Linked DNA regions of Cricetulus griseus. The main gene of each other region encodes a partner of the protein of the gene in region 2 in a complex. Links are inferred from orthologs where the notes say so. Each region holds a gene or a part of one and is shown on either strand. Other genes may lie near its edges.

The links. The genes of interacting proteins can lie anywhere in the genome.
Region 1: Wrap53 (region 2) and Nop10 share a complex: the UniProt entries of both Homo sapiens proteins name them as parts of the telomerase holoenzyme complex. The link is inferred for Cricetulus griseus from reciprocal best matches to the Homo sapiens genes WRAP53 and NOP10.

Annotation. Positions count from the first base shown.
Region 1 is NC_048599.1:66,084,247-66,086,852, forward strand, and holds Nop10 (H/ACA ribonucleoprotein complex subunit 3), read right to left. Parts: upstream 1,367-2,606; 5' UTR 1,279-1,366; coding exon 1,225-1,278; intron 973-1,224; coding exon 832-972; 3' UTR 602-831; downstream 1-601. UniProt on the Homo sapiens protein: Required for ribosome biogenesis and telomere maintenance. Part of the H/ACA small nucleolar ribonucleoprotein (H/ACA snoRNP) complex, which catalyzes pseudouridylation of rRNA.
Region 2 is NC_048600.1:83,418,842-83,423,080, reverse strand, and holds the start of Wrap53 (telomerase Cajal body protein 1), read left to right. Parts: upstream 1-1,431; 5' UTR 1,432-1,488; coding exon 1,489-1,562; intron 1,563-2,787; coding exon 2,788-3,183; intron 3,184-3,305; coding exon 3,306-3,404; intron 3,405-4,161; coding exon 4,162-4,239. UniProt on the Homo sapiens protein: RNA chaperone that plays a key role in telomere maintenance and RNA localization to Cajal bodies. Specifically recognizes and binds the Cajal body box (CAB box) present in both small Cajal body RNAs (scaRNAs) and telomerase RNA template component (TERC).

The DNA of each region.
Region 1 (2,606 bases), on a different chromosome or scaffold from region 2:
ACCTCCACACACACACACACACACACACACACACACACACACACACACACACACTTTTCTTTTTCTTTTTTTTTTTTGGGGGGGTTTTTTCGAGACCGGGTTTCTCTGTGGCTTTGCAGCCTGGCCTGGCACTCGATTTGTAGACCAGGCTGGCCTTGAACTCAAGAGTTCTGCCTGCCTCTCTGCCTCCTGAGTGCTGGGATTAAAGGCGTCGCCACCACCGCCAGGCTCCTTCCCACTCTTAAAATTGAGGAAAAAAACAAAAACAAAAACGAGGACTAAACAAGTTGAGTGCCTTTACTCCTTAAAGAGGGGGTAACAGTACCAGTTTCGTAACTGCCAATTAAGTCTTTATGCCTTTATTATTCTTTGAGGAATTCGGAATGTTATTTAAAGGGGCCACAATTTACTCCAGGGACTGGAGTATATTTTCAGTGAACGCTGACCTTTGTAGGAGTCTTTCTCAGCCTTTCTTCCCCAACACCCTAACACTCATGGCGCATTGCTACTTCAAAAGTGAGGGCTTACCATTGTTCTCAAGTGGCCTTGTACTAGCAACGGCACTACACTCCCCCATCTTTCCCTCCAATCACACACAAAATGAACTTTCAAGACATTGTCTCTTTAATAACCTGGCAGTAATTCAAAGCATAAAAAAAAAAAAAAAGTTAAGACTGTTCCTTTTACAGGCGATGCCCATCACGACAGACTCAGTCACGTAGTAAGATAGGATTCCAAACAGCATGGGAAGGCTTCACTGCTCACGGACTGACGCCTTTGGTTATTGATAATCGGCCTGGGGTAGGGCAGCACATGAAAATTAACGAACCCTCAGAGAACAGGACGCGGTTGCTGGGTCATGAGCACCTTGAAGCGTCTCTTGATGGTGATTCGGTGTCTTGAGTATTTGTCGTCAGGGGAGAACCGAGCAGGATGGGCAGAGCAAGTCTGTTGTCCCATAGGGTCAAATTTCTGCTCGAGGAAAAAAAGAAAATGATCTCAATACATGAGTGGTGTGCTAGCAAGGGGACAACAAGAAAATGGGAAAGCTGAAGCCAGGAGACGCGGCGGTCAGAACAAGAAGTCGTGCAATGCCGGCATCTACCACGTTTCGGCCCGGACGTGGCTCCAAGCACCCGGCTGCGCTGGCCGGCGGCCGGTTCCAACTGTTCCTCCCACCTAAATTTCTTGTCCTCCCGACTTACAGCTGTTTTCTCCCCTTACCTTCAACGTATAGACGCGATCGCCCTGCTCGTTGAGGTAATACTGGAGAAACATGACTGCAACTCAGCACGAAGATCCTCACTCTTCCGCAGCCAGGCGCGTTTGCCTGGAATACACCGCCTCAACCGTGTTCGCCAACATCCTTCCCATCTGACCGGAAGTCGGTACAAGGCATGCCGGGAAATGTAGTCCATTTCTCCAGTCATATCCAGTTGACCAGAAGGGGGCACAGTGGAGCAGAACTTGGCCTTGGTCTTCCCAACTAGCTACAACCTTGCAAAGTTGCCTTGCAAAGAGCCATGGAATTGCCCACTGTGTGCCAGGGACTCCCAGACGTTGGGAGGTAGGGATGGGTGTGGGTTAAATGTTGATGCATCCAGTCCTGTCTTTACTCTCAAATTGCTCACCCATTTCAGAGGCATTAGTTTTGTAGTTCCTGGAGAAACAAGGGTTCCAGGATACTCAACCTCCTATATCCTAGGGAAGATGTAAGATTTTTTTCAGACCCCCACTTTTACATCCGGTTCCCCGCCCCATTTCAAAGTGTTGGCGGTAAAGAGTGCATGATGGGTATTCGATATTATGCAAAGCGAAAAGAACGTAAAGGTTTTCTTATGAAACTGGTGAATTTTGTTTTAGAGGCTGCACCAAGATTCAAACTCAGGACCTGACCACAAATTCATCTCTTTCTTACATGGTGAGTAGCGAATAATATCACAGTAAGGTAACTTTCTTGGAGTATTTCCAGTTTTTCAAAGATAAAAAGTCTTATAAGAGTCTAGTTTAGAAAAATTAAAATTAAAACCAAGATATTGCAAAATGACCATTGTAGCACTATTCATAGTGGCAAAAATATTGTAACATATTAAATTTATAGCCAGAAAAACTTTAGTTTTTTTTCTCTTTTTTTCTTTTTTTTTTTTAGTAATGAATATAGTTGGTTTACTTGTCGTCTCATAAGATATATTAAAAAAAACTAGGGAGTTTAACACCGGCTTGTAACCCCAGAAGTCCGGAGGCTGAGGCGGAAGGATCTCTAGCAACCAGTAGGTTCAAGGCCGACCTGAGCAGTATTCGAGCAGTAAGACCCTGCTTTAAACTGAGAAACAAAAAGCCAAACGGTGTGTGTGTGTGTGTGTGTGTGTGTATGTGTGTGTGTGTGTGTGTGTGGTGTGTGTGTGTGTGTGTGTGTGTGTGTGTGTGTGTGTGTGTGTACACGTGTACACGTGTACACATGCACGAGATTTTGCGAGGGGCGGGAATGTACTAGAAACAGTTAATATCGGCATCTTCTGGCTTGGAGGAGGATTTGGTTACAGGGAAATGGATGGAAAGAATGCTTGCTGCTGCGTATTTTATTTTGCATGCCCTGGGTTTTTTGT
Region 2 (4,239 bases):
CTTCCAGTCTAAAACTTTAAGGGTAGTCATTTGTACATTTCTCTGTAAACCTGAATTTCTAGTCTTCCTGTGAGTTTACCTGAAGCCACGAAAAGAAAATTTCCTATCTATTGTTCACTTATTCTTTAGACTAAAATCACTAAACCTTCAGAGGGAAAGAAATTTATTCCCCTTCCCAAGTGCTGTGTGGAAATAGTACTTTTACAAAAAAGAAAAGAAAAAGACATGCACAATTTCTGGTGCTCAACAAGAAACTGCAATACAATGACCTGCTCTTCAGACTGAAGATGCAGTAGCAGGCAATATGTATATCGTGGCAGCCTTGCCATTATAAGAATCGTCCTGTACTGGCCGACTGCACTTAGGACCTCTGGGCGCCCCTGGCCAAGGCCCGCCCCTTCCGCTCTCAGGACGTGAGGAATGCGTTCAGCAAGGGAATGGCTCACCCCAAGACCGGATACTCGGTAATTTGTTTTTCCGGCACGAACAAACGACCTATTCCCACACTCTATTAAATAAACACCTCCTCCTCTGCAAAAGTAATAACGAAGTAATCCAGGAAAATGCGATGATCGAGGGTGGCAGTTTCCCTTCCTCAAGCACCAGCCAGGAATACATTTTTTTTTCCCATTCCTACTCCCCTCTGGTCGAGTGATCGATGAGCTGCTCCGGAAAAACCGGAAATGCTCCTGCAAGCGGCAGAAATGCAAACAATAACAGGGTCGGCGGGCCTTTCAGATCCAGACAATTAGTTCGGGCCACAAATGCAAACACTTCTCACTAGCGAGACTGACAGTTTTTCTTTGGACTTTCTTCGACTAGCAGGGTTGGGGTGGGGCTGGAAAAAAAAAATCACTCCAGGAACAAAGGTCCGGAAGTTGGAGACCTTAACAGCAGGACTTCCCGGATCACCCCGATTTAATTAAGGAATGGAGCCCGAGATTTCATTAGGATGCTAGGGGCTCTAAAGTCTTAAGCTGTGAATCTTGAAAGATCTCACATCACAGTGCTTTGTGCATGTTATTCCTGGGGCTTCCACCACCCAGCAGCTAGTCGATAAGTGTGTGGCGGGGAGAAAAGCGCCGGCTCAGTGGTCCCCAAATTCTCTATGTACTTCTTCTCAGGTGTTCGGCTGCTTGGTCCTAGCATCCCCACCATCTACATTCATCTACATCATGCTCAAGATTGTATTCATGGTCATCTCGCCCGCCAAGTTTCCATTCACCCCACCTCGCCCAACCTGCTGAGTCCCCCACTGCCCCACCCCCCAAACCCCGCGATTCTCTCTAGCCTCCAATTATGCGAACCGAGAGCCGGTGACTCAGAGAGGACTCATCAGGCTCACCCGGTAACTTACCAGGTCTTCAGGGGGGAGCGTGTTACCCCGCTGGGAAGTAGATTCCGGACCCGGATGCCAGGGACCCCCTGATCCCAATAGCTACCTGCAGCCAGGATGGTAGACTCCAGCACAAAACTTTTCAGGAGCACATGGGAGGGGAAAGTCCCTATCCCAGCATTCCTCGCGAGACTGCTGGCACAAAGCTGGATAGTCGCCATGACAAGTAAGGGCAAGCCATTCTGTGGGTGGAGGGCAAGAAGCGGAGGGGAGGGGCAGTTACACAGCCGGGATTCTTTCTGCGTTGTTGCCATCCATTCGATCGCTTTGTGAGAAGTACTCTAAGACGGAGCTGTGAGGGCAAAACTGGTGGAAACCGCTTCGGAAGAGCGCTGAACACTGCTCTTTCCGATCTAGCTGTATAGTTGGAGTCGTCTTCTTTTTGGCTTTTTGAAACAGTGTCTTTATAGCCAGGCTGGCCTCGAACTCGCGGCAGCCCAACTGCTTTAGCCTCCCACGTATAGGGATGAGCCAACGCGGGCAGCGGTTTTTTTTTTTTTTTTTTTTTCTCACCAGCTAAAATGTCACTTTAGAAAGGCTTTTCTTAATATCTCAATCTAACGTGTTCTCCAAGATACTTCATATCACACCATCTTGTTTAATTTCCTGTACAGTCCTTATCACTATCTGTGGAGAGTGTTTTCACAGCCTTCAATTGCACAGCCACGACAATTTTATGGGCATAGAGAATTTGCAAATTGTTTTCTCTAGTTCCTCGTATGCTGCTGGGTAGGAAGTAAGAGCGTGATAATAAATGTTGAAAGGAAGAAGGGAGGGAGGGGGGAAGGAAGGGAGGTGGGATGGACAGGATGGGAGAATGAAGGGAGGGAGAGTGGGAGAAGAGGGAGAGAGGGAGAAAGGAAATCTTTTGAGGTTGCCCGACTCAAAACGAGATTCAAGAAGGGCAAAACTGTAGAAATTCAGCGCCCTCTGCAGGTCATGGAGGGAAGGTACCTTAAGAATCACCCCAGCGGACGGTAGGGGGAACGCGTGTACTCTTCTCCAAGTCAAAGAGAAGACTACAACTCCCAGAATCCTCTAAGAATTCTCTAGCGCTTGAGGGCTGGGCCCCCTCGTTCCTTCCCGCCTCACCGCTCAGACGCTAATTAGGATGCAGAGAACCAATTGGAAGGTGGCCCGACTCCCGCGAGAGCAAGAAGCGCTGGCGGCGCGTAGCGACCCCAGGTGCTTTGCTCTCTGCTTTGGTTTCCCGGTGTTTGCTCACTGTTGCTGGCTTCGGCTTACTCTTCCCGGAAGAGTAAGGCAGGCACGTTGGGGCTGTGCAGTTCTGCACCCGGATTCCTGGGGACTTTAATGCAGTGTGGCCTCAGCAGCTGGCAGCCGGTGCAACGAGGCTTGCCCGGCCCCTGACCTCCTAGCTTGCTCTACAGAATGAAGACGTCGGAGGAGCGACTCTTAGTCCCGGACAGTCTCTCTTCTGACCAGGCCCCAGCTCCAGTGCCCCAAGGGACCCCTGTGGATGAAAATACAGACTCTGAACCGGTGCCACCGCCATGCGGTGGAGATGACCGACCCCAGGTAGCCACAGATTCTGTGGCTGGCTCGGTTGTGTTCCAGGATCCGCAACAAGGGGATCTAGTTCCTCCCTCCGCTCCCCTGGAAGTAGGGTTTAATACTCCCGGTGAGTCGAGCCCTCGAATCGAGGAGCAAGAACTTTCTGAAAATGCGAGCCTTCCTGTGACAGAAACGAATCGGCCTGAGTTGGAGTCAGGAGAAGCCGTGGAAGATGTGTCTGAAGAACCCGGTCAAGTGGATGAGGGAGACACGTAAGTGACTCTGGAGTCCGAGGAGCCTGGACATAGGAAAACGACAGCCTCCAGTCCTCAGCTCCGCCCCAGGCCCATTTTGCTGTAACTTACCCGTTTGTTGTTCTCCATCTCTTTTCTAGCTTTTGGACCTACAGCTTTTCACAGGTACCCCGATACCTCAGCGGTTCCTGGTCCGAGTTCAGCACCCACTCTGAGAACTTCTTAAAAGGTTGTAAGTGGTAAGTACAACGGGCAGGGAGATGACCACCTTCAGGGTTTTCATCTTAAAGCCCACCCGTATTTGACCCGTCGTAGTTGGACAGCCCTGTAATCTCAACATCTTGGAAACAGGGAGGATTGGGGGTTGGAGGTCTGCCTTGTCCATAGAGTGAGAGACCCTGTCTTAAAATAAGAACAAAAACTAGTCTGGGTGGTGGTGGCACATGCCACTCGGCAGAGAGGCAGGAGGATCTCTGAGTTCAGAGGCCAGCCTGGTCTACAGAGCGAGTTCTGTGTAGCCAGGGCTACACAGAAAACCCTGTCTCAGAAAAAAAAAAAAAAACAAAAAACAAAAACACAAACAAACATACTTATCTGGAGGTGGTTAAGGAATAAGAATACTGGTTAGTACCCAGGTTAAGGGTTTTTTCTTTTCATTGTCCTGTCGATCTTTCCTTCCATTTCTAGTACTGTGGATTTAGCCTAGGGTGTCCATCATGCTCGCCTGACCCTCACCAGTAGGCTACATCCTAGACTTTTTTTTTTTTTTTTGCTTTGTTTTGAGATACGGCCCTGCCAAGTTGTCCAGACTGGCCTGGAACTTGAGGTCCTCTGCCTCAGTCTCTCAGTAGCTGTGTGCCACCACTCTCCGCATGAGCTGAAGTTTTACCTAGGACTGATTGGTGTCTTCTCAAGGGCATATGTACTAAGATAGTTCTAGACCTACACCTGGAAATCATAGGTCTGTTCAGTTTTCTAATTTCCCTATGTTTTTAGGGCTCCTGATGGTTCCTGTATCTTGACCAATAGTGCTGATAACACTCTGCGGATTTACAACCTGCCCCCAGAGCTGTA